2 linked regions of the Saccharomyces cerevisiae S288C genome follow. The protein of the gene in region 1 purifies or fractionates together with the protein of each later gene. This does not show direct contact. Each region holds a gene or a part of one and is shown on either strand. Other genes may lie near its edges. The genes, in order: DSE4 and ARA1.

Region 1 (18,084 bases):
GATGTGTAGCTAAGAATTAAATAGTAAACGTCTTCTGAAACCTTTTAAGAGGTAATTATTGGTATTCCAAATTCATATGTGGAGGTAAGGGAGACACAAAATTATCTGGAATGACAGCGTGCTGACACCTATAAGGTTCCGTAACTTCAAATGCCTTCATTACTCAACATAGGAAAAGTGAAAGTGTGTGCCTCTAAAATATACGGAACATCGTCGAACTAAAAAAATCCATTAAGCAAAGTCAGAAACAGCATGCACTACAAGACATTTGGTTCATCATGAAGAATGCTCAATTGAACCATCAATCACTTTCTCTTGTTCGATGTTAGCATTATCCTCACTATCAGTTGAATCCTCAATGCTTTCGGTTTCAGTCCTCGCATCTTCCTGAACTTCAAGATCTAAAAGAGGCTCACTCTCTTCCAGACTGGTCTCCAAGCGGTCCACGGTATCACGTAATGCCTTCACACAAGCCTTCAAAACAGATCTTGTGCTTGACCCATTTTCCTTAGCTTGAGATAGGACTGTGATATAAGAAGCATATGTGGTAGCGAGAAATAGTATGAATAAAACGGCTTCTGGTAAAATATCTATTTTAGCAATCTTACAAGAACCTGAATAATCAAAGTTTATACCCCGTGGCATACTTGAGCAGGACATAGAACCAAATTTTGAAGCTAGAGTTACGAAAGCGGTAAACCACAGGACGGTCTGAACAATTTCCATCACGAATATTAACAGAACAGGCAAAAATCTCACAATCCCAAAATAAACTGAAGATATGATTGAAACAGCTAAGCTCAATCTAAGGATTCGATCCACTTTATAGTTTGTGATTATGGCAAAACTAGCTAACAACAAGTTAGTTACAGATAAGCCAAGTTGGAAATATCTTAGTACGTGGAAAGTAACGGATGTTGTTGTTAACTTTAACATATATGTATTGAGTTATTATTATAGATCTTGACTTGGTAACAAAATATCAAGCTGTAAGCACCGCCTGTATTCTCCTATTTATGGTTGATTATATTTTACTTCTGTTGAACCAAGAAAAAAATAGCAACTCGAAAAGTCGCTTATTCATTCACTTTTTTAATTTTTTTACATATCGCATACGTAATTGGAAACACGCAATTTTAACTTTGGGCAAATACATAAATCATTTTGAGAAGTTGGTTTTTAGTCTCCGAGAGATTATAAACCAACATCCTTAAAAGATAGTATTCATTTCTCACCTGCCAATGCAAGAGCAGATATTATTCAGCAAGCAGTACAGCAAATCGGAAGCGAATTCCAATGACAATTTGCAGAATAAGATTAGAATAATATATTGAGATTAAAGAAAAGGTTATGCGAATTGCCTAACGTCTTTAACTTTGAAGCGGCCAAACTCTAAAAAACCTTGGTTAAAATACAAGCTTTGGCGTCCATGCAAACTGATTACATCATTCAGTATAAAGTGCCATATAAAAGAGGCACACACTTTTCCACAACTGGTTTGAATATAATAGAAGAATAAATCAGAAGGAAACTTTAAATATTAGTAATATTTATTTATGGCCGCTAAAAGATTAGTCCGGATATATCACTATAGAAATGGTAAAGATAATACACTATCATTTCCAAATGTAAAATTTGTTGATAGAACGCCATAAAAAAGAGGCTGACTTTTTGTCGTCCAAGTTCTTCGAAAAAATATACGTCAATGGCACCCGATATATAGCTGGATTTGGACCAGTATATGTCTAAGGAAATCTAACACCTTTTTTTCCTGAGCCAAATAAGCGGTGGAATTGAAACAGCTACCAAAATCATACCAAATCCAACCGCAATTGAAAGCCCCAATCTTGTGCCATAAAGAGCTGCTAATACAATCGGTGCCACCAGTTTACCAATCCCAGAGATTGCTCCAATTGAAGGCATCAACTGGACCTTGAGTTTGGGGTCGATGTACATGGAAAAAAGGGCTGGAATGCTCGAAGCCAAAAAGTTGTACCCTAACAATGTAATCGACATCCCAGCTGAAAAAAATATACCAGAATTTGTGGGTGGCATTGATTTATGCTTCAAGGCTTCGGATGCTCCAATCATAAAAGCTTGTCCCAGCAATGAAACAAACAATGCAAAGATGGACAGAAAAACTTGACCGCTGTACAGCGAATCTTTTTTCTTTACCTCAACGGTCTCACTTCCAGTTGTATCTGACTCTTCTAATCCGCCATCTTTGGCTCTGCCGCAGGAGCACCCGACGTTTATTAACTTTGGAGCGAAATAGCTTCCAGTCACACCAAGTATAGATGCGACCATAAACGCTATGCCTTGAAACTTGGTGTCCCAGTTAACGTGGAGCGTCAGGAATAGTGGCATAAAATAAACTACTTCGCTCATAATAAATGACGATAGGAACATGCTCCATAGTAAAATCAAGCAGGAGATGAGTTTTTTTCTTTCGACTCTAAAAAATTGTTTCAGAGCACTGAAAAGGCTATTTTCCGAATTTGTAACTTTAACCTCAGGATTTTCCAGAACGACAACTAATAAAAGGCATACTGCAAGAATTATGAAACTGGAGGCAAATGTCGGTGCATTGTAAGAGGCAATGCGATACCCTTTAATTTTAAAATCGCAATATCCAAAAAATATGACAATTAATTGTGCCAACGCCATGAAGATACCAGCCGCTGCTCGATAAATTGATAGAAGCTTGAAAACGATACCCCTATCTTGTGCAATTGACATGATGTAACTGAACACTATAGCACCAGAAGCAGATGCTGCACCACATATAATACGCCCACCGAGAAGGGTGTTTAGCGACACTGCACCGCCGCATGAATACAAAAAATTACCCACAAAGGATAAAAAGTAAAGCCCCACTATTACCCATTTAATGGACCCAAGAAAAGCAGCAATATCCCCAATAATGAATGAAACAAAAACTTGAACTGCTGCAGAAATGGCTTGAATTCTGAACAAGAATTTGTCCGGATTGGTTTCTCCGTTCTCTAAATTGTTAGCATACTAGTTCATTGAAATTATCTTAGATTTACATTAACACTTACTTCTTTGATGTAGTCAACCACACTTGAGAGATATACACAGGAGTCGAAACTGAATTGGACAGCTATCAAAATTACAGCCAAGTATTTCAAAAACATGTGTTTCTTGACACCTAAGATTTTTTTCATTTTAATTTATTGTACCACCGTCGAGTGAAATGGATGGATTTGTAATGCAATTGAGATACAATTAAGAAGAACGAAAGAGTACTTGACAACTAGAAAGTAATGTTAACTGATCTTTTATATGATGATTATTTATTGACGGCGATTCTTTTCCAGATTAGGAAATTTTGTTCCGCTTAGAATGGGATAGGCTTGTTTGGGCGCTATACTTCTGTATCAAAATAGTAAAATCAACTTATTTTAGTAATAGAAGAGAACAGTAGGCGTTTGGTAATTCTAATTACCTAGACTGTCCCCCATTTCCAGACAGCTGTCCCATATTTTTTTGAGATTCCGACGTCGAAGCGAAAGACTAGAAGAATAAGTAAAGTGGTCCTTTGTAAGCATAAAGACAAAGGCATGTGAGAAAAGTAAGTGTCTTCGCGATTCGCCGTTGTAAATATGTATCAGCTTTTTTTACTGCCTTTTCCTGGCGGATCACAGTAATGTATTTTTTTTTTTATATAATTCGAGCTCTACACTCAAGCATACATATATAGAATAGCTCAGTTTTAATGGGCTTTCTCGAGAACTATTCACCCAGAAGGATATCCTGAGCCTTATATTTAGATGTAACTTAGTAAAGTGAGAGTATTATGAATAACTTTTGAAGCTAACAAAATATCAGAAATTAAACTTCATTCAAGAATGTATTTATCTAGAAACTGGTCTTTGGCAAATGGCTCCGATGGCACACATGCAATGTTCTTGGTAAAAACTAATTTATTATTAGGCCAGTACAGAATAAAAGTTGTCATAAGAAAACTTCATTACATTTTATCTCCTCTGGCAAGTATCCAAATTCGAAAACCTCAGAAACCAGCGTTCCACCTAAAGTTTGTTTGCCCGTATGTTAAAACAGTAGCTGCCAAGTCACTTGAGTTTGAAGAATAATCTGATGCTTTTTACATAGAGGTCTATTAGGCTCTTTACTTTGTAAGCATCTCGACTTAAAAAAAAAATCTATTGTTTTTACGGGCATCGCTGAAAAACTGTGTCTGTTCTCTTTGATGCTGTCATCTAAGATTCAATTAAAGTCGACCATCAAGTTCCCTTAATAATATCCCTTGTGAGAGCTTAATCTAAAACTACAAAAGCGTTCGCAACAAGCAGTATGGACAGATCTAAGGACGCTAGAAAGAGATCTATTAGTTTGGCCTGTACTGTGTGTAGGAAACGAAAGTTGAAGTGCGATGGGAACAAGCCATGTGGAAGATGTATAAGGCTAAATACACCAAAAGAATGCATTTATAATATTGATAAAAGGAAAGACAAGAGAAAAATCAAAAACGGGTCGAAGGTTTTTTTATTCAAGAATAATACTATCGATAACGGGAATAACTCTATACTAGAGAACAAAGGACTAAATGAAGACCTTTCTTCTCATATATATGAGAAAGAAGCGCCAAAATTCGATTCAGATATTGATATATCAAGATTTGGCACAAATGATGCTGTGATTTTTAATAATGACGGGTGGGACACTTCTCTTCCGATCGATTTTGATTTCGATGAGTTTAACACTGAGACAACAGATTTCGATGACTTTTTAAAACTATTAGGCGATAATTCACCTTCAAAGGAACAAAAAAGTCTTTCCTATTCACCTACTGCTACAGGCTTAAGCGGTGTGGTTAAAGAAACTGAGAGCGAAGATAACGCTCCTACGAGGTCTCGGCTAATCGATGTCTTGTTTGAGAACAAGCTTCACTCCGTACCAGGAATATCAAAATGGCATCTATATGAGCTGGAATCCCAATACCCAAATTTGGAATGTACAGAAGGAAATAGTGATGAAAAGTTTTTACTTTCAACTGTATTGTGCCTGGGGTCGTTGACCATACGAAAAAGGGAACTATTGAATCATTCGAACATAGACAATCGTCCACTTTTGCCGGAGAATAGTATTTCAAAACTGACCACTGATGCTTTTAAGTACTATAATGCTGCGAAAACGCTTGTTCCCGACTTGTTATCTCATCCCACAATCGATGGATTTTGCGGCCTCGTTCTAATGGCAAATTTCATGACGATGATGATATCCTTAGAGCACCAATTATATTTGAGTATAAATGCTTTACAACTTGCTGTGGCTTTAAACTTGAACAACAATACAAAATGCAAGGAATTACTTGAGTCGAACAGCGACGGAATTGGTGTGATCTTGCTTTTTTGGAACATTTGGTGTTCTTCTTGCATGTTGGCAACAATTCATGGAAAAAATCCTTTTATCACTTTGGAACAAATTACAACACCTCTGCCGTGTGAAATATCCCCCCGCAATAAAACTAATAAACTTTTGATAGATTTCATGCAAATCAGAATCAAGCTAGCCACTCTACAAAGTAAGATTTTTCAACGGCTATATACTTCCAGCACCGCAAACGAGGTACCATTCGTAAACTTAGAAAGAGAATTTGAGGAGGTTTCACTCCAGATTACCAGGTTAAAAGGCTTTCCGATATTCGAAGAACATCTTTTTTACAGGAGCAGAGTCTTAATGTTAGAGCTATCATGTTTAAGAGCTCAAGCTTCTTTTCTATTATATCGTCCGTATCTGATCACTGGAGAATCCTTACAAGCAGTAACCATGGCAAAATCAATAATTCACGAAATATGGAGTCAATACACTAAACAGTTTCCCGATAACGAAAAGGAAAGGCATGAACGTTTGGATTGGAATTTTTGTTATCCTTTAAGAACAGCGTCACTGACATTATGTATTTCATGTATTATACTCCTAAGGTATAAGCAGGTGGTGCAGTTCCTTAAAGGTACTGAACTATTTGAATACATTCTAGCATTGGAAATATTGCAAGATTTAGTTCAGGTACTTCCTATTGAACAAAACCTTATTGATATAATCAAATATCCGATCAGTCCAGTACAGCTGAGTGGTGATAGCTTTGTCGAATTTTGGGGTCGCATACTTTACTAAACCGTTTCCTAGCTGATTTTTTGACACTTTATTCAGAAATGACCTTTTGAGATACAAGTTTACTAGGGGAAAGATCCATATGACATGGTAGTAGGTTTACCCTTCAAAACAACATAGATCGTAAAAAAGGTGGCTGAAGAACTTACTAAAAATGTTATATGCTTAGATTAATATATTGTCACCGGGCTACCAGTACAAACCCTTGATAATGCGACCAGACATCTGTTTTGACTTATTTATGAGCAATAATGGGTAACAAAAGAACGCTCTGAGGCAACTCTATGTGAGTCGAAACATATGTGTTTTTGGCAATTAAACAAAATACGAGAGATTCTTCTCAGAAAACATTGTCACAAGAACTTAGTATCTTTAATTTTCTGCAAACATACTGATGATTTCTTCGGCAATAGCAACTACGTGAGTTTCAAGCGCAAAATGGCCAGTATCATAGTAAACAACCTTTAAATTATCAACGTCTTTCCGATAAGCTTCAGCCCCGGCAACGCTAAAAATAGTATCATTCGCACCCCATGCAACTAGCACAGGAATCTTTGAATCTCTCAAGAACTTTTGAAAGGCTGGGTACAACTTTATATTATTCTGATAATCGAAAAATAATCTCAATTGAATATCGGTCTGGCCGGTACGCTGAATTAGCGCAATATCAAGCGTATAAGCGGCGGGATCAACAGATTCGATAGCTGGTACTCCATCATGGTACTGGCATATGACATTAGCTGGATCTTCAAGGTACGGGATAAGGGATTTAACAAATACCGGATCACTTTGATATGACTTCCAATATTCCTTCAACGGACCCCAAAAGCGGTCATCGAGACCCTCTTCGTAAGCATTACCGTTTTGAGTAACAATGCCAGTAATTCTGGAGGGAAACTTCAAGGCTAACCGAAAACCTACCGGAGATCCATAATCAAATATATACATGGCAAATTTTTCAATACTCAAAGTATCTAACAAATATCCTATACTTTCACAAAGGGAATCAAAGCTGAACTTGTAGTTTTCTGGCGTTTCCGTAAATCCGAACCCAGGAAGATCCGGAGCAATGATGTGAAACTGTCCAGCTAGTAAGGGAATGAGGTTCCTGAACATGTTGGAAGATGTAGGGAACCCATGTAGCAATAAAATTGTGGGGTTACCTGCTGCACCGGCCTCACGGTACCAAACCTTTACACCGTCTTGAACTTGAATCTTGTGAAATCTTGCAATGATATTTGACATTTTTGTCCTTCGTCCAATTCTGACAGTGAAAGAAAAGTGGTCAAGTTCAGTTAATTTGATCGTGCTTATATATGTTCTTTTTGGCTCCTATCACTTTTGGCTCCTATCACTTTTGAAATTTCTGTCACGATTATGTGCGGCGCAGTCCCTAGGCAAGTTACAGACGAATGGCATGCAGCGCCGTCTGTGGAAAAGATGAATACTGAATTATCATACCTTTAAATGACTATGTTAATAACAAAGGTGAATGGAGATTTAGAAAATGCACAATATTGAGAAAATGCATATGCGTACTTTTTGTTAGCAAACATACGATTATTTAGTCTATTAAAAAAATCTATTTACTCGTCCTCGTTGCGCACAGCAGTTGAATCAGGCTTGTGAATAGCACTACGTGCTGGCAATGCGTCTGGAATATTGCTAGTGGCAGGCTGGTCTATCTGTGACGTGTGCTCTTGTTCGGGTCTGTAAGCATCTTCTTGTTCAATTTCAAAATTACTGTCTTGACTTGTGAAACTGGATAAATCGTTAGCATCTTCATGCAAGCCATCTGATTCATCTGAAAACTGACCCTGAAGCAGCGAAGAGTAAGTAGGACCTTTTCTGTTGCCAAACCTTGCCCTTAATTTTGAAGAAAAGCGTGCTACACCTGCCTTCGTGCGTTGAAATGCAGACTTGGTAATTAAAGAAATGCATAATCCTAGTCTTACAATGATGTTGACAACTCTATCGGTCCTATTGTTTTCTATCAGCCCATCGTCTCCTAATCTTATTTCTTCAAATCTTGAAAATCCCCCATTTCTCCTGATACCTCTATCGTATACAAACCATGCGGCAAAGAAAATAACGAGAAGAATTGTAACAAAAACCAGCGCATAAGCGCCGGTGTTTATAGAATATTTTTCCCTGAATGCCTTTTCTTTTCCCGGACAAGGATGTGGTGCTAAATGTGCATCCAATTTCAGCCCACCTTTACAGGTTGATAAGGGAATTTTTCGATAGCCAGAGGAATCATAGTATTCAATTAAGTCGGGTTCCTTTTTGCAGATATCGGCACCATTCGCCGAACTTAAGCCTTTGACTAATTTACAAGTACCATCACTGGCTTTATAAAAATTATAGTCACATTCGAAATCTTGCCTCGTACATGAACAGTTTTTGACGTTCCTCGAAAATTCAGAAAGTGGAATATTCCCAATAAAACATTTTTCATCGGTTTTACGTAAAAACTCGGTTTGATGACCAAATAGACAACCAGTTCTGGAACCCAGAGGAGAGTACTTAAAATCTGCCCTTTTTTTACCCGTAATATCAAACTCACATTGCCTCTCGAAGATGTTTCTAAAATCAATTGTATACGTTCTGAATGAACCACTACCCATGTTTTTTGCTTCTCCAAATAGCAAAAACCTCAAAGCAGAATCTCTGGGAACGGTGATTATATCCTTTACGAGGACTTTGTCGCCACAGAATTTATAATCTTTCCATGTTTTACCAAAATCGGTGGAGTAAGAAATAGAATCAGTTTCTGCGTTTTCGGGGACCAAAACCAAGACTCCACCATGATCACCGTACTCCCATTGATGGGGGCCTTTTTTAACCTCAGTCCACGTCTCTCCTCCATCAGTGGTTAAAAAAGTGGAACACTCCTCATATGGTAGAAGCTTATCGCCAACATTTCCGACACCAAACATCATTCCTAACGCGGAACCGGAGGAATATGTATCCCTGATATCCTTACGTTCAGTGTAACCATGCAAATGTAGAGAACATTTATCTAATGATACAGAATCACAGGGAAACTTTTTCCCTTCCGAATCCTTCTTTGGAGGCTTCAAAAAGTTCCAATCTGAACCGTCATTAAAGGTGATTTTCGTCTTCAATTGTTCGTCTTCCTTGTTCTCTCCAACCTTTTCCCTATTCGAAACGATGTTGGTAATAATAATACCTTCAAGACCTTGAACTTTTTCAAAGTCGACATAACCGAATGTGTTTCTATTAACGGCATGCTCTAAAGTGACAAAAGAAGTACCATTCGAGTTGGATTTCAAAAGGTTTCCAAAATCGTGTCCTGATTCTAAGTTTGTTGCTAAATGTAAAAATATCGATCCTTTCTCAGATCCTAAAATAGTGAATGCCTCTTGCTTACTAACATCTTGACCATACGGGAATTTTGCCTCGGCAAACTCAGTACCATCAATAGTTACATATGCCCTCAACTCATTGTCTTCATGAGGTACGGCAACAATAATATAGCCACCAGTGGACAAGTAGCCGATAATGTTTTCAAAGATAATTTTATTATCACCTTGGAAAAAATCTATCGAAGAAACCAAGCTTCTTGTTTCTGAAGACTTCTTTTTTACTTGGCACATAACCATCTCCTCATTTGACGGATATTCAAAGAGTGTGCCTGCAAACTCACAATGAATTGCATTATCAAGCATTTCTGTAAAAGTTTCACCTCCATCTTTGGTGAGGTATGCTACTGCATGACATTCTGGACTTAAGATTGATTCACAATTCTTGCCACCATAGTAAATAAAAGTATCCTGTGCTTTAGCACTAAAATCTAGTGGCATACCTAATTGCCTGGCTTCAGGTAATTTAGCTATCATAAAAGAGTGTCCTCTATCGTGTGTTGAGAATATGTTACCTTTAGAGCCAAACAAATATGCTGAAGAATTGAAATATGGGTTAAACACAACTTCAACAATTTTTTCGCCGTTAGTGTCAAACCTTTTTATTGTTTGTCCACCATCGTGGGATATATAGGCGTCTCCTATCGAATTCAGCATGACCAAAGATTCGTCGGCAACTGTATCGAAGTATTGGTAAAATTTAATTTCGAAGTCAAATTTGTTTTCAGTGGTCACTATTTCCCTGTCACTCGAACCCTCCTCTGGAATTTCGTCACACGGAATATCAACGGGTTCAATTTTCATGGGTGTTTTACATTCATCACCTTTGATTAATTGTAATGGCTCTACTAACACAGATTTATCCTTCGATTTGTCACATATGTTGGAAAAGGCAATCAGATTATAATCTGGTATACACAGGCCGTTTGCGTCCCTAACAAATTCAAACGAACATTCGTAGTCGGATTCACCACAACTATTACAAGGCGTTTCATCTAAACTCAAATCTTTGAATGCTTTTTTTACCAAACACTGGGCGTCTTGTTTCCTCCTTCTATACTTGTATTTGGCGCCATTAACACATTTCCCATCCGCCAAATCCCAATCTTCAAAATCTTCCTCCTCACACGTTCTAGAGTCGAATGCTGCTGAAAAATCAATTATATACTCGACACCTTTTAAAGAAGTTATACTGTTGGTTTCGGAATCGGTAGTGGCAAACGTTCCTTTAAAAATAAATTTTGAGCCAGATCCATCTGGTGTTGGATTTATCAATTTGTAGGGATGGACAGAACTTATGGCATTGGTCAGCTCATATTCATTCCATGTTCTACCTTGGTCCAAAGAATAATAAAATTCAGATTGAAAATCGCCATCTTCCTCTGGATCATATGGGATATACACAATAATATTTCCCAGGTCACCAGTAGCATATAACCCAGAAGAATTATGAACAAATCTCCACGTTAAACCGCCATCTCTAGAGATGAAAGTTTTTTGGTCTTCCCAATCGAATTCACTACCGTCGCCAACGGAACCTGTCATTAACATAATTCCGGCAGTAGGATTTGAGATTTAGATACTATAAAAAGGGTTCTGGAGCGAACATCTTTCAGGCCTAGTGATATCACAAGGGAATGAATCTGCATTTTCCTCGTCAACCACTTTCAAATTTGACCATGTGAGGCCGTTATCAACAGATATTTTAGTTTCATATCTGGCTATCTTTTTATTATATTTTCCTTTGTTATGAGAGTAGTCAAAGGAAGGATGAAACGAGCCAATTATTGTTCCTTCTAAGAAATGAGGAGAAGCAATATCAATATAACCAAAGTGAGGATTTATTGTCCATTCAACAGGTAAAAATTTCAACCCTTGAGAATCTGATATTAAAATTTCTGAGGGAGCTGGTTGGTCGTTTTTTTCATCTGTGAATATCGTAGATATAGGAATGATTATTCTTCCAATAGAATCTTCATAAATTCCATACATATGGACGTGCCGTACTTGAGCAGGTAGACGTGCCTTTTGAAAAGTAGACGCATCATTGGATATCCAGATGTCCATGGGTGACATTTCATTGTATCTATCATCTTGTGTCGAAACGATTATATGTGATTTTAATATCTTGTATTGATAAATAATTTTATCATTAAACTCATCAAATTTTTTGAAAGTTTTACCTCCATCAGTACTTAAGGCTAATTGTGTATATGCGGCACTTAAGTGACGATCGCTATCGTAACCATGGTTCGAGAACAAACATAGTATCGAAGCGTCGTTACCCTCAATATCAGAATCCTTGCTAGATTTGACAAAGTTGCAGCTTGAACTTGTTATATGGTCATCTTCTTTCTTTTTCAAGGAAGGTTCGATATTGTAAAAGGATTCCCCATCGTTGGTAAAGTAAGTTTCATTTTGTATTTGGATATAACCATTGTCGTTTATAAAGCAAGGGCAATCTGCAATAAGGTACTTTTTATCTGTCGGATGGGTAGCTATAGAGCAAGAAGTACCCAAACGACAGTTTTCAGAGACGGGTATAGTCAGAGCCCTCCATGATTTTCCACGATCATCGGTGACGTAAAATTTGGGTGATAAATGTATCGAAACAAAAGCCCTGTCCTGTCCATGCAAAGGATCAACAATTAATTCGAGAATATGCCCTTCAATTTCTTTGACCGCTTCCCAATTTTCTCCAGAATCGGAACTTATCCACACGACTTGATTATCTAATCTGATTAAACTGTTGGAATCGTCAAAGCTCTCTAGACTAAATGAATATTCTGAAAGAGTCTCCGTTACTTTGGGGACGAATTCCTCTGCATTGAGTAACGGAATAAAGAGACATGTCCAAATCGTGCATATGACTTGGAGTAATATCATAATTGAGGATCTCTTACCTTTTCTTAGTTCAAAGCTTTTTTTCAAAGCTCGGAACTTTATGCTACGATTCAATGACTAAAAAAAAGGTAGCGGATAATCTTTTGGTTGCAAATTGGCGGCATTTAAATATATTTTGGGTTGCAAATATTCTAAAAATATTCTCATAATATTCTAAAAATATCTAGCCTAGGTAATTGCAATTATTTTGAGTCTGGTTATTTTGAGTTGACCATGTTCACTTCCTTTTCAGTCATCAAGACAACGTGTTTACCATCTAATGGGGAATCAAACAGATAAAACTAGAAACTGAGCAAAAATACTTTGATTTGCTAATGTCGCCAGTAGTACGATAATACTATAAAGATATGCTGTTGAAGCTGATATTTAAAGAATGAGAATCTCTAAGGGATCATAGTCTAGAATGGTATTCTGCAAAACAAATTTTAAATGGTGAAAACTTTTCCTCACTATGTCCAATTGATGCTTCTTAGGATGACGTTAGAATTTTATTTTAGTGCAGGCATTACCTTGCTAAGTTCATTCATTAAAGTACTAATATACCTCTTACTGGCATGCATTTACCTAAGTGGTCTCCGTTAGCCGTGGTCTTTTCGAACGCAACAACTTTCAAGTTAAGTAAAAATGATTTATTCTATAAAATATGTATGTAGTGGGAAAGACTCGACAGACCTGCTTGCCAAGTTCTCTTTCTAAGCAATTGAGTTGGCCAGTCCCCCTGAAAATGCTAATGCCCATGTGCGACTCATTCCGTTATCCAAATATGTGGATGAATCAAAAGTTGAATCACTGAAAAATGCATACGAATCTACTGGGTCGAAGAGTGCTTGATTCAGCTTCAATATGCCTGTCCAGCCGCTTTCTATCGATTCAATAATTGGCTCGATTTTAGTCTGCCATTCTTCTTCGACGAAAGTCTCAGAACGAATATTAGAAGAAACTGGTGTGATAGGTAGCATATGAATACCGTGGATATATTCTGTGTTTGTTCCAAAATAAGTAGTATAATCGATAATATTATCGAATAAAATACCACTCACTTTATTTCCTATGATTTCTTCAGGCTCAACTGTGTTGTCATTTTGATAATAGAAATAGTCGTTCATTGCATCCTTCATTATACTAATCATCAAGTCACCCCTCAATTCCATTGACTGGTCACCGATAGTGGCCCCCCATAACTTCATAGCATAGGCAAAATTGTAATCTTCACTACTACTTTCTTCGTTCTTACCGTTACCGTTTTCATAAAGTCCAGCTGCCCATGAATGACCGTTGAACCAATCAAACATTCTCGATTGTGCAAAGTATTCATCTTTTTCAGATGGATTTGCGACATCTCTTACCAATGAATTGACCCAATCTTTATTGTCGGCAGCCCAAGTACCATTCAGTTTAGAGTCAACATAGCCGATGACAGCAGCTGCATGAATAATGTAACCATAATGGAAATGATGGTCATTGTAATAAGTGTTACCAAAATCGTATTGCGTGCTGGTGGAACCCCAATCTCCTGAACTGACCAAACCGTTGAACTTTGTGTCGTAAATTAGTGGATACGTCTGTTCATTTTGTAGCAGAATATCAAAGGCCGATTTGATGTTTTCCAAAGTACTCTTAGTACTGGCTTCATCTTGGATGATTTCGGAGACCGTTAATAGAATGTAAGAATACTTATCGATAACTTTACCCAAATAATATGTGTTTAACCCGCTTATACTTTCGGAAATACTAACCTGTAATTCGGAATTGGCAACTTCAGCTAATAATTGCAATTGTTCTTTAGAATACTCTAAAAGGTTTGAGCCAAGTTGAGAAGACCATGGTAACCAAGATATTTGTCTGTTTAGAGATGTGGAAAATTGTAGGCTCGTTGTTAGATAACCGTTCATTACACCCTTAGTTGTAGAAGCGAGTTGAATGCCGGTATAGTAGTCTTGCATTATATCACTAAATGAAGATTCATGATGGGGCAAGGCAAAAATCATTGTGCTACCTGATGCCGACTCACCTTGGGTGGTATAAGAAAATTCATAGGTAGCTGTAGAACCGTCAGAGACACCCTGCAGCTTGAAATTAGTAACGTACATACCTGCGGCTTGATCATAAAAGACCTCGTAATCAGTTTCAGAAGGTGCGACGGCCAATTGAATGATAAGACCATCAACACTAGCGCTTGCTTTAATTTCATATTCTGAGCTCACCTCCAATGAAAAGTCCGTTGAGGTTAAATCGTCTGGTCCTATCACGTAACATAACCAAGTGACTCCATTCAAAAGGGTGATACGATATTTGAGAATACCCTGAGCTAAATTGCTTGATGATTCAGAAACAATGGTATTGAATCCGACGCTGGAACCAATCTTGGCATTTAAAGATCCATGATATATACCAGTTGCAAATCCCATACCTTGAACCAAAGGTATTTCCAGGTAGTTCGAAGAATCATTGGATTCTGATAGCACTACCCTTGTTGAAGACAAGGTCATTTCATCAACTTGCATAGTCATACTTGAATCAAAATTCGAAGCTGAGAAAACAACATGAGCAATTCCCAAAGGATTGACCAAATATTCTGCATTACCGGAACTGTCATAACCACCGTAGCTATATTGATCTACTGTTGTATGTTGAACAGCAAAACCATATGAACTCGAGGTGTACTTCCACAATGAATAAGGATACACAAAGGCAGGTGATTCCTGACTACCAACAATCAAATTTGTATAAAACTTGTTTGTTTGAATGGGACCATCGTTTGACACCCCATCAGCCAATGACATAGGATTTGGTGATCTGTCAAAAACAGTTGGTGGTTCATCTGTCGAAACAGCATTGAAAAGATTGACAATGGTCGTTGTTGAAGAGTTCTCCGTTGTGGTAGCGGTGCTACTGGTCGAGGTTGACAGAGAAGAGGAGGAAGTTTTTGTTTGTCTCGAAGATGAGGACGAAGAGATGGTAGCTTGCATTGAAGAAGATACATAAATGGTATCTAATGTCGAAGAAACCGGAGAGGAAGAAGAATCTACTGTTGAAAATAGTGATGACAAAAGAATGTTTCCTGTTGAACTCGATGGATAAACTGGACTAACAGTCGATGATAGTGATGGTGATGGTGAAGAACCGTTTTCTGTAATGTTTGAAGGGTAAATTGGACTAGTTGTCGAATATAGTGATACAGATGGAGAAAGAGTGATTTGTGTCCTATTAGATGGGTAAGCAGGGCTTGCTGTTGTAGATGCGAGCGTCTGGACTAAATCCTGGGTTGAGTTGGATGGATAGAACAAAGTCGAGGAAGCAGGAGTTGAAGCAATGAAGGAATCTTCGCCGGTAGCTGTAGCTGCATTTGTCCTTACTGAAATAGTATATATCGTTTTATTCGAGGTCAATGAAGAAGGAATAATTTTTGTTTCTTGGGAAGAATAGGAAGGCATTTGAGTTACCAGTGGATCGATTGTACCTTTTGAAACAGAAGTCAATAAAGTTCCATTTAATTGTGTCCCCGAAATAGATAAAGATGAAGAAAATAAAGTCGAAGTCGAAGTCGAAGCAGTTTGAGATAATAATGTGGTGACTTTACGCATTGTTGATGCACTTGGCATGACTGAGGCGACGCCGGAAACCGAACTCAAATTGTGTACTGAACTTTTGCTTTTCGAATTATCATTTGCGTAAATATTTGAAACAGTGACAGGATCATTATTGGTTTGTGCGCTTATTTTTTGAGATACTTGGCTTGCGTAGTTTGATAACGACAATGACAGTTGAACTGCTGTTCTTGTATTAGAATCACTGTCTTGTGAATTAATTGGAGATGCGCTCACTCTATTTTTTGGCGAAACTGAGAGAGGGCTATGAGAAGCTGCAGATACTCTTGTTACAACCACCGATTGTGCAACATAAGGCTCACCTACTGTCAAAGTAGCGTAAGATAAAGTTTCAATTAAATCAGTTTCCAATATTTCGTCTGCATTATTCGATATGAAACTTATATATGAACATTCGACGAAACTTAATAGAAAAAGAAGTGTCAGATATAATTGCATACTAGCTGTTTTTTTGTTTTCTTTTCTGTATGCAGACCGTTACTATGGTTATCTACTTGTTGAAACAAGCACAAGAAACATACTTGATATTCATTTTTGAAACAAATTGCACCAAGTATTTATATGTAGTCCTTTACCCTCGCTTGTAGTCTTCGTATGGTGTATATGCTTTGCTACTCTTTTCATACCCAGCTCTTATTTTTAACTTTTTGGGTTCAGCTTTATGATTAACTAGTTTTTCCTTGGTAACCAAATTGGGAGATTTCGTGCCTTTTCTGCTGGCTTTCATAACAAAATATAGCCGAAAAGAGCTTAGCGCAGCTGAACTCGGTAACAAGGTTCAGGTAAAAAGGGGAGAAAAAAAGAAAAGAAAGCCAGATCTTTCAAAAATATGCCAGCAAATACCAAATTGGTCATAAAATAGCTAGCACTCCGCTATCGAGCAAGTTCTCTTGGCAAGCAGGCTTATTCTATTCTTTTGCTGAAGGAAAGGCCAGTTCTATGCTTATAACCTTAAGTAGGAAACATATGCGCAGCTTACAGCGCATAAAATTGATGGCAACCCATTTAGTGGTACTATTCCTGCGTTATTACTAGTATGGTCGCTTTAAAGAGTGGTAAGATTTCACATTTTCAAATCTAAAAAGCAAAGTTTATCACTTGAAATGTACCTCTCTGTGGGCTTTCACTACCTTGTACATTTTCTTAGCAGTTCCGTACATTTTTTTAAACAATGAAAATTCAAAGTTCTATGTATAGAGATTATTTAGGTTTTTAGTACTTAAAGTATTTTGAGAATACCTTGGCAAACGCAGAACAATCGTAAAAGAGATTGCTACTGCGCACTGTTTCCTTGCTTTATCACTTTCAGTTCTGCAAGAACTAAGGTGTTTATCAGTAATGATACTGTAATATCAATAGCGATAAAAACTTCGTCAGTGAAACCATTCTTTTTAACAGCCATCTATCAAATAAAAGAGTTTTTAACTTGAACTGGGATATCAATTTCAGCAGATCCAACACCTTTATCAAAATGAAGTTTTACGCGGAGGAAATATGACCTCGAGCATAAACAACTTTCAAAACTTGGCACTATGGTAGCTTTAAAATCATCATTATATTTTATATTCAATAACAGTGTTCTCTTATACTCAGTTGAACTGACCTGATTCCATTCATTTGATTTCCGATGTGAAAGTACCGAATGGTGATAGTTTGATGGGGAGGTTTTTTTATTCCTAGAAGTTCGAGGAATTATGCTGGATATAGGAGAAGAAGCAACAGGCACACTTTTCTCTCCAACCAACTTCGTTTTCAACGCATTTTTCATGACAACAACATTGGCTTCCATATTGGCTAAAACCTGTACGTCCTTAATTATACTCGAAGGCATTAAATCAGAAAAATCGAGCGATCTATTACGCAGGCTAGCTCTTGCGTCATCGGCAAGAAGTAAGTTTATTTTTGTTTGATTTTTAGTGAACTCATCGCGATATGCTTCAATGTTTTCCAAAATTTCCTTAAATATTTTCTTAATTTCATTGTATTTGTGCTTCTTTAAAAGTAAATCACTGTGGAACCTCACTGGT
Region 2 (16,123 bases), on another chromosome or scaffold:
TATCTCCTCAACTGACGGACTTTGAAAGAGCCCGAAGATTTAAACAATGGACTGGGCAATCAAAGCAGCTAGGAAGAAAACTCAAAGGAAGCCAGGCTCTACCCGTTCAATCATAGAAACCCTCGATGATCTAAATAATCTAACAACAGATGCACATTCAGAAATAAATCAACGATTGTACGAAAGTAGTGAATGGTTAAGAAATAATGTTTATATGAATACACTCAAGTATGAAGACAAAAAGATGGAAGAGTCTTTAATTAGCCCCGAAAATACGCATAACAAAATGGATGTCGAATTTCCTAAAATGAAAGGAGAATATGAACTTTCTAACTCCCAGAATGATGCCGCAAAAGACGTTACTAAGACACCCAGAAATGGATTACATAACGATAAAAGTATCACGCCTAAATCACTCCGCAGGAAGGAAGTCACCGAAGGAATGAATAGATTTAGTATACATGATACCAATAAAAGCCCGGTTGAGCCATTGAATAGCGTTAAAGTCGACGCCAATGAAAGCGAAAAATCCTCACCATGGTCACCTTACAAAGTTGAAAAGGTTCTAAGAGAATCCTCCAAGACTTCGGAGTCTCCGATTAATACAAAACGCTTCGATAATCAAACATGGGCGGCTAAGGAAGAAATGGAGAATGAACCTATACTTCAAGCTTTAAAGAAAGCTGAATCAGTAAAGGTGAAACCACCACCGAATTCTGGGATAGCGAGATCTCAAAGAAGGTCGAATATGTTTGTTCCACTGCCGAATAAAGATCCTCTTATTATTCAACACATTCCACCAACAAAATCTTCAGGATCAATACCAAAAGTACGAACAGTAAAGGAATCACCAATCGCATTTAAAAAAAAATCTACGATAAATAGTCCTGCTATAAGAGCTGTGGAAAACAGTGATACCGCGGGATCTACAAAAGCATCCAGTGTTTTCGATAGGCTATCATCTATTCCAACAAAATCATTTGAAAACAAAATTTCCCGTGGAAACGTTGGTCACAAATACTCCTCTTCATCAATCGATTTAACAGGCTCCCCCATGAAAAAAGTTTCTCAAAAGTTTAAGTCAATAAACTCCACGGATACTGATATGCAAGAAGCGTTAAGAGATATATTCTCAGTAAAAAATAAAATAACCAAAAATAATTCACCCAAAGGAAAAAACTCTCGAAAATCCTCTATTCCGAGGTTTGATAAGACTTCTTTGAAGCTAACGACACACAAAAAGCTAGCAATCATTGCAGAACAGAAAAAGAAGTCCAAACACTCTAGTGATGTTCATAAAACTGGTTCAAGACCGCACAGTATTTCTCCAACAAAAATAAGTGTCGATTCAAGCTCGCCATCTAAAGAAGTTAAAAATTATTACCAAAGCCCTGTAAGAGGTTATTTGAGACCAACAAAAGCGTCTATTTCGCCTAATAAAAATAAAAATTTAACAACGTCGCAAACGCCACATCGTTTGAAAATTAAAGAGAAAACATTAAGAAAACTTTCTCCGAATATTGCTGACATCTCCAAGCCAGAGTCTCGTAAATCCAAAAATTATCGGCTTACAAACCTTCAATTACTTCCACCAGCAGAGGCAGAACGAGATGACTTAAAAAAAAAGTTTGATAAAAGGTTATCAGGAATTATGAGGTCTCAACAGGAACATCATCGGCGTAAACAAGAGAAACAAAAAAGGATGTCGCATTTGGAACAAGATCTAAAAAAGCAAACAAGCTTTAGTAATGACTACAAGGACATACGTCTAAAAGAATCTTTGGCTCCTTTCGATAATCATGTGCGAGATACCATCAACAAAAATACTGCATTTAGTACCGACAATATATTGGCCACAATAAATACAGTTGACCATCGAGAAATAATCGGAAATGTGACCCCAAAGATAGCCTCTGTCAATGATTCTTTACCAGAGATAAATACTGATTCTGAAGATGAGGCTAGCGTAACTTTAGCGGCATGGGCTAAATCCCCGTATTTGCAAGAGCAATTGATAAGACAGCAAGATATAAATCCACAAACTATCTTTGGACCAATTCCGCCTTTGCACACCGATGAAATTTTCCCAAATCCTAGGCTAAACAGGTTGAAACCGCGTCAAATTGTGCCCAAAAGGTCTTGAATTCGATTACCCCAGAAAAGAAAAATTCAAACTGGTTAACATTAAATCAAGTACACTTTAAATACTCTGGTATTCCCCCTGCATTACGTATATCGTTCACTTTCTTTACTTTTCCTTCTTGCTTTGTTATTTCTATCTACAACTTTGCGTTACATATTTTTAACTATTTGACACTTCACACAGATCTTCTTTCTAAGGCTTTTTGCTTATCCCACTTGGAAATCCACCCTTCACTTTCTACCTTTGGCACAATATATATTTTCAAAGCGTTATCGAACAATGGTACATCTGGCGACTCTTTCTTCAAGATATCGTGAAATGTCAGTTTCTTACCAGCTTTAATCAAACCACCTGCCTTTGTTTCCATGAACACCAACACTTTCTTTGGTGTGAAGTTTTCCTTACCTTCTTTTTTGAAGCGTTCTTGCGGCCCTTCCAAAACTAGGTCAACAAGTTCTTGCACAGTAGTTAACTCACTTACTTCACCTACAAAATCAAATTCATCTTGCGTGGGGTACATAATTAATGCGGGATAGATCAATTGAGATTCAAAATCCATTGGGTCTTCTAGCCTTATTTTACCCTCATTAAGTAACTCTACTGGAGAGTGAGTTTTGATGTTAGTTATGTTTCTCAGCGTCATTGCGCTCTCTAACATAATTTTCTTGTTTTCACGTTCCTGAGCTTCTCTTTGCTGTTTTTCTTCTTTTGCTTTCAATTCTTGTTCTTTTCTATCAATCACTGATAACATATTCAAAATTGATTTGTTCTCTGGGTCAATCCTTTGATTGGCAAATGTTGCGGCTGATTTGGCCTCCTCCAACTTGTTTAATTGGAAAAAAGCCTTGCTTGTACGATAGTAGCACTTAACATTCTTGGGGTTAATAGTTAGAGCTTTACTGCAGTCCTCGATACACCTCCTGTAATTTTTCAGCTCTAACTCACATGCCGCTCTATTGGCATATAGTGACTCATTTATTGATTTATCTTCGCATTCTACAGCCAAGCCCTTTGAGTAAAGTTCCCTTGCATCCTTGAATCTTTTTGCTTTGTATAGTTCGTTACCTTGCTTCTTGAAATTTTCAGCGATTTCGTGTGGTTCGCCTTCATAAGCTAATGCCTTTAAAGCTTCTAACTCCACGTTTTCACCACCTGCACCGTCTGTTTCATCCAACTTGGTCATGAAAAAAGGCATTCTGTTCATTTCTTTCAAGATTTCATCCGATGTTTTATCTTTAAATTCGGATAGTTGGGGTGGAAGTTCAGGATCACCTGGCCCTGGCACATATTTTTGTGGTTTGGTATATCCTCCATTTGCGTTAACGGAGCTCATTCTAGATGCAAAACCAATTTATTCTTTTCTTTTACTTGCTAGAATGTAGTGCTCAAGACCTCACTTTTAATTCAATGCTGCTTTTGAATTTAAGCTCATCGCTCTGAAAAGTGCCGGAAATTACACATATTCTTTTTTTCTTTCTTTTTTTTCCACCTTTTTCCTCACTGCGTTAAGAAAGAGATGAGGTGAAGTTATTTTGTTCTGTGTACTATAATCACACATTACACAGTTTTCTGTGAAACTGTACAAGGTGCCTAAACAGAGATACGAACGCATACGCTTTTAGTATTTAAGTCTTTAAGCTCATTATCCGCACAAGTAAACTTGAGAACACAGACTCTCTACATATAAAGTGCCAGATATCTTGGTAATGCTCGGTAGGTGGATTAACGTACTCTTATCATCAACCGAGACTAGAAACCGTATCAATAATTTATTTTATATAGAGCAGAGCATCTGATCGCTAGTTAATATGCAAGCATTTAAAATTAAAGTGGCAATGTATTGTTGTTGTCCTCTATTCGACTCCTAACGGAGGCCTTTTTTTAGCAATGGCTGACCGCGGAAGGAAAAATTTTTCTTTTCTCTTGAAAAATTTTCAATCATATATATTATTCAAAACGACGCAATTCGGTGAGGAAGATTACAAACGTTGCTAACAAGGGTCAACAGATCACGAGCCAATTTGAATTCAAATTAAATTAGTAGGGGATTTACAAAATTTGTGCGCAGGTGGATATTACTAATAAGCTAAGACAATGGACCAAGAAAATGAAAGAAACATCTCAAGATTATGGAGAGCATTCAGAACAGTAAAAGAAATGGTTAAGGACAGGGGTTATTTTATCACTCAAGAGGAAGTCGAATTGCCATTGGAAGATTTCAAGGCCAAGTATTGTGACTCCATGGGCAGACCACAACGTAAAATGATGTCCTTCCAGGCAAATCCAACAGAAGAATCTATATCAAAGTTCCCAGACATGGGCTCCTTATGGGTAGAATTTTGTGATGAGCCTTCCGTTGGTGTAAAGACAATGAAGACTTTTGTTATACATATTCAAGAAAAAAATTTCCAAACAGGTATCTTTGTTTACCAAAATAATATTACACCAAGTGCAATGAAATTGGTGCCTTCTATACCACCAGCCACCATTGAAACTTTTAATGAAGCTGCCTTAGTGGTTAATATTACTCACCACGAATTGGTTCCAAAGCATATCAGATTGAGTAGTGATGAGAAAAGAGAGCTTTTAAAAAGGTATAGATTGAAGGAATCCCAATTGCCAAGAATTCAAAGAGCTGATCCTGTAGCCTTATACTTGGGATTGAAAAGAGGCGAAGTAGTTAAAATCATAAGAAAAAGTGAAACCTCTGGTCGTTATGCCAGTTACAGAATCTGTATGTAGAGTGGCATTTGGATTTACCCCTTTCATATAATATAAAATAACAAGAATATGTACAATTAGAAATAAATAATCTGCAATAAACCAATCACTAGTATGAAAATTTGAAAGGCGCGTTTTTTTCACTAATTTCAGAAAGAAATTACACAGAAGGTGGAGTTCTAACACTATTAGTCATCGGCCAGTCTCGCACAAAGCACCACATCGGTAATGCCCTTCCACCATGACATATCCTTTAAATTTACTGTTTGGGGTGGGCTAACTTCGGTGCCTGAGCTACCCAGAAATGTTGATCCAATAGTTATTATAAGACTGTTGACAATATCGCTCCTCAGCAACAACTGATTTATTACATTGGCACCTCCTTCAACCATTACTGACCTTATATTGAATTCTTCTTTTAATATCTCAAACAATTTCTTCCAATCGACCAATTTCGTAGTATCATTTATTGGACAAATTGCGTAGTCTACATGTTGTTCTTTTATAATGGGCTCACTTGTGACAACAACGATTGGCGGCTTACCCTGTCGTTTAATAAAAAGTTCTTGCATTTTTGAACCATCAAATCGCCACTTTTGCTTTGTATCTATTATTATTGGCCTTGGGGAATTTGCAGCCGGATCGGGACCCCATTTACAATTCAATCCAGGATTATCAGCTAGCACTGTTCCACTTCCTACGAGTATTCCATCGTGATGATGTCTCAAATAATGCGTCATTGTTTTGGTCTCGGGATGTGAAATTGTAGTCCTCACTCCAGGGCCCCTAGATACTCTCGCGTCGAGCGATTGAGCATAAGTTAGTGTGACAAAGGGCACAATGGTATTTTCCGTTTGACCAGCATTCGGTAGATAGTTTTGCAGAAATTGTGGTAAATCTTCACACAGTGGTGTCAAAGACATATCTTCTAAAAATGTTGATAGTAATACAAAGAAGCTACCAATAGGTTGGTACTGTATTTCTGCTAGATTGTTTCATCGTATCCAAAGCCAGATGTAATGGTTCTGCGAAAAAATTTGATATCTTCATCTTTGCCTCTTTTTTCTGTTTCGGGATTTTCCCGACATCAACTAACTGAAAGGCATGTGGGTTTGTGTGTGTGATGCGGTGTTATATAACCGAATATTCAGTTTCTTCGTAATCTCTACTATTCTTGCCTAGGTCACCAAATTCAACATTTTTAGTTCTTGTAATCTTGTAACGGTTGTTATTGTGAGATTTTTCTACTTTTTCAGCCGATCTTTGTTTTTTGTGATCAAGTTTCTCTTTCTCCTTGTCCAAGATAACGTCGTATTTGGTATTCCCATCTTTGCCTTTTTGCATCGCTTCAAATCGTTTTGCCTCATATTCTTCTGATTCTCTTTGTTTCGCAAGTTGTATTCTTCTATGCTTTTGCTTTCGTTCGTTCTGCCTTTCAAACCATTTCTGTCTCTCCTTTTCTGAATCGACTTCATCGTTATCATCTAAGAGCAAGCACTGCTTGATCAATTCTTCGTTGGTGCTGTAATTGGTGTTAAGTCTCAGCTTCATCGTTTCGTAGTTCTTTGCCACTTGATTAGCTTTGTCGATGTTTTTTATCATATTTTCCTTCTTTGTTTGCAGAACTCGTGCGTCATCTTGGGCATTCCAGGGTTGATCTATCTTGGTAGCTTTCTGCAAATTATTGGCCTTTTTCTTCATAAATAATGGCCTCGGTAAAGGTCTCATATCGTCACTATCGCTCGAATCACTGTTGTCGCTACTTTCTTCACTTTCGGGACTCTCATCACTTTCGGGACTCCCATCACTTTCATTTGATTCTTGGCCATCATTGGGGGTGCGGTTCTTTCCTGTACCATTTAAAATTTCGCCGCCCAAATCACTATGGCTTAATGAGGCTGATTTTTCTGTTAGAGATACGTTTTGGTCTGGATGCTCTTCATCCGCCGAAGAGCTTTCATCTGCTGAGCTTGTGTCAAGTCTCCTCTTGAAATGTCTAAAACTCATCGTATGTGATTCAAATCAGTAACCAAAAAAAATTCTTAATCTAGCGGTGGCGGTAGAAATCTGCATTTGTTCTTTCTTTACTGGGAACAACGAAGAATTGCTTTTCTCAATATATGGCGAAATATTGCATGTTTGCAAAAATTATAAAATGAAATAATGAGCAGCAAGTGGAAAACAGAAAAAAAATCAGATGAAAATATGAAATGGATTAAGAAAATGGCCAAAGAATCTTTCATGTATGGAAAGTTGAAATACAGGATCCCTTTTGCAAATAAAACTTTTCATTATCATCTTAGCGTTATAAATATATATGCGTGCTTTAGAACTATGTACATTTAAAAGCTACTCTGATGGCAAATTTTATGGCGTCAAAAGATTGTATTTTGCTGGCCAACCTTTACCAGCTTTGATATTTCTTAATACAGCGAACTTTTTCGGGAAACGGCAACGTTGGTTCTTCAGGAACAATCAGATGTTCGACAATAGAAGGAACTATGGTTGGAGTTACTCTTCCCAACCAAATTAAGGTATTTGGATTTCGTAAATAAATTTGAACATTTGCAGCAAATTTGTGACCACCAACATGATTAACAAATGCAATTTTGACACCCTCTGCCCTGTAATCCGAATTGTCCCTATACAGCCCATGTTCCTGTAATTTACTGTCAAAAACTTTCTTTAAATAGGGTGCCGTAATCCCGCATCGTTTATCCCTCGTAGTATGTGAACATATAAATACAAATGCACGTTCACGTGCAACGGCAACATTTGGTCGTGTTTCTAGCAATTTCTCTCTTGAAATATTCTCGTCTAATAAGTCAGGAACTAAACCATCCAGCGTTGCTTCGACGTCATCTGATCTAAGGTCGTTCAGCCAAATGAAGTAAGGCAAAATAAGTACATTATTCTTGGTTCCCCGCATAACATCAATATCCATGATATCTTTAGGTAAAGATGAAACTGCACAGTTTAGTGTCTTGCCTGTGCCCACGTTGGAAAATTTAGCTGAATTCTTATCACACCACTGGGAAATTTTATACTGTACTGACTTTGGGTCCTCGAGGCAGGCATCATGCTGCCAATCGATTTGAGAGGTGGGGACAACGAAGTGAATTTTTGGCGTTTTAGAAGAGTTCAACAAAGGAGTTTCATGTTCGATCTTTAGTTTCGCAAAGGCCTGCTCTCCTTCTTCAATTTCTGTTTTGCAATCACCAGAGCAGCTATGTTCGTTAGCAGCATCGTCACTTTTGCATATCTTAATCGATTGAGAAATTTCCTCCCGTCCCTTTGCGCTCAGTTGTGAAGCTTCATCACCACGTTTTTGCTTGAAAATATTCAAAAAAGCCATAATTCAAAGGACAAAGAAGATATCTCTCTCTTGGCCGCCTTCTTGCCTCCTCCGAATATAGCCAAGTACTTTCTTTTCTTATACCTCGAACAGAAAGAAAACCAGTATGTTATACTACTATTCGGTTAGAATTTCAACTTTGCGTTATCATCATATGATCTCAACAATATAAATAGAAGATATCATCAGCGCCAAGAGTGGAACTCTCCCTCTCCTTGCACTTGTTTTAAGAAACTTTTAGCCCTTATTTCCATCTTTATTTCCGCTTTTATTTCCGCAGCACCGGTGAACCCTCTTTTTTATACCTTCAGAATTTTCTTTGCACCTAAAAAGTTCAAATTGCCCTTTAAAAAATATTTATAATACCCTAAAGGGTCCACATTTTCATTTTGACCCTACTCCGCCAGAAAATGTTGATTTATCATGCCTATTTTCAGCCACTGCCCAAAGTCTACTTAAAATAGAGTAAACTTTATATTACGACTACTCTTTTTTAAGTTAACAATGATTACAAGCCCAGCAGGAGTTGTGTGAATGAATATGGATTCTGGTATTACAAGTAGTCATGGAAGCATGGATAAGACACAAAAGCAAAGTTCTGAGTGGGCAGCTAACCAGAAACATAATCAAAGAGTCGAAAATACAAGAGTTTTAATGGGCCCCGCTGTCCCTGCGATGCCTCCAGTACCATCAAATTTTCCGCCTGTTCCAACTGGTACAATAATGTCGCCTCAGTTGAGCCCTTTTCCGGATCACCGTTTAAGACATCACCCATTAGCTCATATGATGCCTGCTGATAAGAATTTTCTGGCATATAACATGGAGTCTTTCAAAAGTAGAGTGACTAAAGCATGTGATTATTGTCGGAAGAGGAAGATTAGATGTACGGAAATCGAGCCGATTTCTGGTAAATGTAGAAACTGTATCAAGTATAATAAAGATTGCACGTTTCATTTCCATGAAGAACTGAAAAGAAGGCGAGAAGAAGCTTTGAATAACAAGGGAAATGGGAAGTCGGTTAAGAAGCCGAGGTTGGATAAGGAGAATAAGTTCAAGGATGAAAATTTTGATATCGCCGTGCGATCAAGAAATACTTCTTCTACAGACAGCTCGCCGAAATTACACACCAACTTATCACAAGAATATATTGGAGTTTCTGCCGGCAAAAGTGCAAGCGATAAAGAAGATACTTGGCCTGACTTTGTTCCTATTGACAGGACAGTGCTTGAAAAAATTGAACTCAACCATACGAAGGTTGCTGGGAAAGTTTTTGTTTTGGAAGAGATTTGTAAAAACATGAAGGGAACAATAGAGAAGCTAGCTGAAAAAAGCAAAATTGACGTCATTGATAAAGAATACATGAAAAGGCCTAAAAGAAAGCAATATTCAAAGGCCTTGTTAACAAAACAAAAAATGTTTCATTTTCGACAAAATGTTTTATCACATTTAACTGACGAAGAATTTCTTTCGCCCATTAATGAAATGTTTACTACTACTTTCAAATATTCTATTTTACAGACCAAGCTGGTCCTGGACTTCTCTTTCCGATCCGCATCATCACCATCTAGTGATAATATTTTGTATCCTCTGCCCCGTTTAGCAATTGCAAAGCGTTTGCTCAAAAATATAAAATGTCCATCATTAGCCTCTCTTCTCCACATAGTGGATGTAGATCAATGTTTGCAATTTGCCGACGTGCACTTTGATCCTGCTAAAGGAAGATTGACATCATCACAGGCATTTTTGCTAAATATCTGCCTCTGCCTTGGGGCCACCGTTACAAATTTTGAGGAGAAGCAGGAGCTAGTTGATGAAGATAATCATGAAACCTATTATTTTGAGAAGTTCGAATTATGGAGACTCAGATCTTTCACTTTTCTCAATTCTGTCTATTACTACCATAAACTGTCTGTAGCACGCGCAGATATGACGGCATTAAAGGCATTACTGTTACTGGCAAAGTTTGCCCAACAAAAAATAAGTGCTTCATCAGCGGTCAAAGTACTATCCGTTGCTATCAAAGTGGCTTTGGATTTACGGCTCAATTTACATTCCACCTATGAGGATCTAGAACTTGATGAAATCATTAAAAGAAGACGCTTGTGGTGTTATTGTTTTTCAACAGACAAATTCTTTTCTGTGGTGTTGTCAAGACCGCCCTTTCTCAAGGAGGAAAACACTGATGTATTAACAGATGAAAGCTATGTTGAACTATTCAGAGATAAAATTCTGCCCAATCTTTCTATAAAATACGATGATTCAAAACTAGAAGGGGTGAAAGATATTGTATCCGTTGTAAACTTACTCGCGAATCACCTTGAATATGTACCATACATTCAATCATATTTTTTGTCGAGATTATCCCTCATAGAGTCTCAAATATATTACTCATGTTTTTCCATCAGAACAACTTTAGACGATACACTAGATGAAATCATTGAAAATGTACTGGAAAATCAAAAGGCGTTAGATAGAATGCGAGACGATTTGCCCACCATATTATCATTAGAAAATTACAAGGAAAACATGAGGATTTTATCTTTGGATTCTTCGAAGTTAGATTTTGAAGTGAGTTGTTGTACTACTATTCTATTACACCTCAGATGGTACCATCAAAAGATAACCCTGAGTTTATTTGTCATATCCATCATTGGAGATAACTTAGATCAACGGGAAAGTTCCCGGCATGATATAGCTGAAATTATTAGAAGGTCAAGATTGGATTTCAAGCGAAATTGCATCGAAGTACTTAATATTTTGAAAGATTTTGAATACTACCCTACTGTTCAGAATGAGTTTCTGTATTTTTCTCTCACAACGGTTTTTTCCATGTTTCTGTATTTGTCAGAGATTATGGTTAATGACGAACATGCCATGGAGACTGGTTATATAATTGGATTATTGAGGGATACACATACCCGTATGCTTGGATCTGAAGAACGCTGTCTTTCAGTACACAATCTGAAGTGGCAAACATCTCTTTTTTTTTACACTTTTTTTCTACGGAGTACGATGGAAAAGTTCAATCTGACAAGTAAATACGCAAAATTCTATGCCTTTGATTCAAATTATTATGAGGGTGTTCTCAATAGGTTAGTTAAGCATACGAGAGAATCAAAAGATGATATGGTCGAGCTCTTGAAAACTTCGTTCATAAATAAAGAGAAGATGGCTGCATTTGGTAGTTTCGTTACAGAGGACCAAGAAAAAATGGAAGTGTCCTTCAATATTTTCAATGAAATAACAATCCAGGATTTGAACTTCTTGCAATTTTCAAGCATTCCGAAATTGTGGGAAAATAAAACTCTTGAGCCAGGCGAGGAATATCATCATAGTAATGGTACCAATACTGATAATAACGAGACTACTGGCGCTGATGATACTGACGATAATAATAATAATAATAATAATAATAATAAAAATGGCAATAATAGTAGTAGTACTATTAATAATAATAACAATAACTACAGTAACAGTAACAATAATGACAATGACAACAATATTAATGATGATGATGATGATGATGATGATGATGATGATGATGATGATGATGATGATGATGATGATGACAATGATGATGATTATAGTAATAATGGTGCTGATGATGATGAAGAAGACGATGACTATGACAGATCTTTATTTCCAACAGGTTTAGCTTCGCTGCTTGATGCGTCATATCCTGAACGTACGGCGAATGATTATAGAGATGAGAATGAACAATCGAATAAATTATTCGAAAAGATTGAAGGCCATTTGGAGCACGGTGTTTTTTTTTACGATCGGGATTTCTTCTTCAAGAATGTGTGTGTAAAAATGTAATATTATATAAAGGACATTCGAGTAATTTAACTAATACATATGCATACGCGCGCGTATGTATTTCAGATACTTAAAAACTTCAAATCACGTATGAAAAACATATTGTTTACTTGAGGCGATTACACAATATCTTGTTTTTGACAAGATTAAGAAGCGAACTAAATAAAGTGAAAATAAAGTCGTTGTCTTAATACTTTAAATTGTCCAAGTTTGGTCCGTTACCAGTAAACTCTGGAAGGATGGCTGCAAATGGCTCATCGATGAATCTCACTGGGTATTTTTCACCGAAGTCGTTCAACTCTTGTAATTCATCCTTTGTCAAAGATGCGAATTCAATACTCGAGGAAATCCTAACTGGATTCAAGGATCTCGGAATTACGATAGTGCCTTGTCTAATATGGTAAGAAATTAGCAAGTCATTTCCTGTGACATTGTACTTTTCGGCAAGCTTTTTCACTAGTGGGATTTTCAAGTTTGGTGCGCCATGGGAACCTAATGGTGAGTATGCTGTTAACAGAATGTCGTGCATAAAGCAGAACTTTCTTAGTTCCATTTGTGGTAAGTGAGGGTGAGTTTCCACTTGGTTCACCGTTGGCTTAACTCTGCATTCCTTAATGAGACGTTCCAAATACTCAATGGAAAAATTTGAGACACCAATGGCTCTCACACGATGATCGTTAGGATCAAGGTAAATTTTTTCCAATTGCTTGTAAGTTTCTAAATAGTCACCGTCGGCAGCATACATTGTTTTTCCAGAATCATCAACCGGAGTCTTCACCAGTCCGCTGATCCCCTTAGGGTCCTTAATCTTTTCAAAACATAGCGGCCAATGTTGCAAGAGCAAGTCGACGTATTCCAAGCCTAAAGCTTTCAAAGATTCATTCAATGATCTGTCCACTTCGTCCCATAGAACCGGCCACACTTTTGTGGTTATGAAAAGATCCTCCCTTTTGATAGATCCATCTTCTAATAACTCCTTGATGGCTTCACCTACGAATGGCTCTGTCTCGTAGGCCCAAGCAGTATCAATGTGCCTGTATCCAGCTTTGATTGCAGCTTTTACGGCTTGTTTTGTTTCAGCTAACTTTTCGTGAGGATTTGCTGTCCCCAAACCCAGTGCTGGGATACGAACACCATTGTTGAGTGAAAAGTATATTTCTGTAGTCTTTGGATGCAACATATTTTCGACTATGTTTTCGGTTGAGGCTACTGAAGAAGACATGATAGCAGTTGATTAAAATCAAGACGCTTTTATCAATTGAAGGCGGAGATAGTGCAAATAAGTCCAGATGCTTGATATCCCCCTCTTTCCTTTTTACCCCTGTATTACGAGGCTCACTTTATATATTATAATTTTTCCAGGCGGAGGTAAGGGTAGAGCGGCTTTTGGTGGATTTATAATCGGCAATAAACGAGTTTTTAAGCGATCTATAATATTTTTATTGAGTGATAGTTAGATACTTAATGATTATATACTAGTAGCATTTTCAGTAAACGAAATTGTTAAGATGTTAAGGTGGAGGCGCCATTCTTGCTGTCTTTTATCAACTTTGTACTCTCTTTTTTCTTCAAATGTTGCATCAGTGTTTTGATATAGTTATCCTTATCTTGTAGCATCATTCTTAACCCACCTATTGTTTCCTTCTGGAAATTGGCAGATCTCTCGTAGAACCTGAAGTTCATTGTCAGTTGGTCGATTAAGGAGAAGTTGATGTTTGCGAACAGAGGGCCCAATTGCCTCTTGAAGCTGTTTTCTTGTAAACGAAATGAGGAGTCTTCGAAACAATTTTTCATGTTTAGCGCACTACAGCAGGTTTCAATCTTTATAATATTATCGTCGTTTTCCTTCAAATCATTGCCATAAACATTGTGGAATTGCAAAACCTCGCTGAGGCTTTTCAGTAATGTCAAAAACTGGTCGATAGTATATCTATTCAAGTCTAATCTAACGCTGTCAGCCCTTACCTGTTTTTTTTTTTTTTCAAGAGATTTTTCTAAGCCAAATATTCTCTTTTCCAAGTGTTTTAATCTATTTTCATTGTTTCTCGTTTCTCTTGGAAGATATTTCGAGGGTTTGAATGTGGATTGCTGTAATTTTTTTGAAGTTTCGTTGACGTTCAGTTCTAAAATGCCAGGACCCATATTGGATTTGGTAATCTCCTCATTTTCGTTTTCATCCGTAGATATGTACTCATTTGTTTTATTATTCGTACTTTTTTTTTTCAATTTGTTCATTTCCAATATAAGATCATTGTTTTTTTTACTAATGGATTCAAGGTTGTCTTTCAATGAGTTAATTTCCTGCTTATGTTGGAGATTTTCTTGCTTTAATGTTGACAAGTTCAAATTCTCCAATTTTAACTTTTCCAACTCATCTTGCTTCTCTTGTGCGTGCATTCTACCCTTTGAAATGTGGTTAGTAATACTTTCTATAACGTGGTCGCTCAATTGGTCGAGCTCTTCCTCCCAAGATACGTTTTGTTTCCCCCCTGAAGTCAAATCAATATCAATGTTCATAGTAGCCAATTTTTTGTTCAGATAGTCAATCACATGTCTCCCACCTTTGTGAAAATCATTTTCTACTGTTATATTAGGCTGAGATGTAAATGTGTTTGGTGTCTGAAACACAAATTTGTAAGGACCTTCAAGAACATTCTCCGGTGGAGTAGCAGGAGAAAATTCATCGTCACTGTCGTCGCTATACTCTTCAAAACTTTTTTCATATTCCTTTTTCAGACCTTTATTCTTAGCGCCTTTAGTCAAGCATTGATCCTTGGAAGGTATTTTCTCGGGACTTTTTGATTGCATAACATGTGAGTTAGCATCAGTGAAATGAGACTCATTCTCATCATCAGAAGAAAGTTCAACGGGCAATAGTAAGTTATTTTCATTCCTGAATTCTTTCACGTCATTTGCACTCTTGAAAATACTGTTTCTGATTTTTTTTGTGAAACTTCCTTTTTGGATGTCATGGGAATTTTCCTTTTTTGCACACTTATTGCTAGTTTTCTTCCAAACTAACGCATCATCTTCATCTTCCAACACAGACTCGTCCTTATTTGAGTTTGTTTGTTTGAAAAAAGATCTAACTTTTCTTCCTAGTTTTCTTTCTTCAACAGATTTTTGTGAGTTTTTGTCATTTAAGTAGACATCATTGACGTCATCTTCAACTCTATCTTCGCAACTATTTTTTAGGTCTGCTGTCGGTTTTAAAAACCAGTTTCTTAATGTACTATTTTTCTGTAAAATACCAGTATCGGAGGTTAATGCATTGTTGGAAAATCTGCCGCGTTTGGCCTCGCTACCCTCTACTGTATCGGCTAAGCTGGACATGATGTTATGTTCGTACGTATCCTTATATATGTTAATACACCGGTGCAATAACTTCTCTTAAAATCCTTCAACCTAGTTTTAGCTTTTTTTTGTTTTTGTTGGTGTGATTAAGTTAAAAAAATTATTAGATGACTACAGTGAATAGTTGAATTTGTCCCCTTCCTGTCACTTTTTTTCCTCTATGGATAGAGACCCCACCCAGGAAATGGCATTACTCGTTTTTGTGTTATTTTTTGTGTATTTTTTCAGACGCGTGTCAGCAAAGGGCATCGCCAAAATAACGACTGAGCCGTGATGGCGCTAGTAATTTTGTTTCCTCCATAAAATGAAAATACTAGTTCTGGGCTATAGCCGATGCGCATATGAGTAAGTTTGAGTTTTAAGTGGAAAGATTAATAGAAGCCAACTAGTTAATTATCTATTAGTATTTTCTCGTATTTAGGTTTGGCGTAAAGGAAAAATTGAATAAAAACTGTGAAGTCCATCAACAGCGTACCAGCGCTACCGATAAGCCAAGATGCTGAGAGCACTGAGATTATGAAAGAAGTGTTCCCTAAGCATGCAAATAAAAAGAATAGGAATGAGACTCCTTCGCATGATTTTCTTTTGAAGTTAAGAACAATCTGAGGGATCCTAGAGCCCAAGTACAGTATCGCACTTAAATACCCTAAAATTTGTGCAGGTAAATTAATCTGTTCGAACGCAGGTTTTTTTTTAGGAATACCGTTATCTAGGCCGGAACAGTAAGATAT

Evidence for each region.
Region 2: the proteins of DSE4 (region 1) and ARA1 purify together in Saccharomyces cerevisiae (affinity purification with mass spectrometry, with the first as the bait; one large-scale study listed by BioGRID). This does not show direct contact.

The regions. Positions count from the first base shown.
Region 1 is NC_001146.8:742,605-760,688, forward strand, and holds DSE4 (endo-1,3(4)-beta-glucanase), read right to left. Parts: upstream 16,496-18,084; coding exon 13,142-16,495; downstream 1-13,141. Other genes in the region: YNR061C (uncharacterized protein), read right to left, coding at 277-936; PUL3 (Pul3p), read right to left, coding at 1,756-2,739; PUL4 (Pul4p), read left to right, coding at 4,339-6,162; YNR064C (epoxide hydrolase), read right to left, coding at 6,532-7,404; YNR065C (uncharacterized protein), read right to left, coding at 7,746-11,096; YNR066C (uncharacterized protein), read right to left, coding at 11,121-12,431; YNR068C (uncharacterized protein), read right to left, coding at 17,463-18,084.
Region 2 is NC_001134.8:537,124-553,246, reverse strand, and holds ARA1 (D-arabinose 1-dehydrogenase (NAD(P)(+)) ARA1), read right to left. Parts: upstream 13,261-16,123; coding exon 12,226-13,260; downstream 1-12,225. Other genes in the region: SLI15 (Sli15p), read left to right, coding at 47-2,143; HSP70/90 family co-chaperone CNS1, read right to left, coding at 2,319-3,476; DNA-directed RNA polymerase core subunit RPB5, read left to right, coding at 4,238-4,885; RIB7 (2,5-diamino-6-(ribosylamino)-4(3H)-pyrimidinone 5'-phosphate reductase), read right to left, coding at 5,053-5,787; U4/U6-U5 snRNP complex subunit SPP381, read right to left, coding at 5,996-6,871; APD1 (Apd1p), read right to left, coding at 7,269-8,219; TBS1 (Tbs1p), read left to right, coding at 8,754-12,038; YSW1 (Ysw1p), read right to left, coding at 13,542-15,371; RTC2 (cationic amino acid transporter), read right to left, coding at 15,782-16,123. UniProt on the Saccharomyces cerevisiae protein: Catalyzes the oxidation of D-arabinose, L-xylose, L-fucose and L-galactose in the presence of NADP(+).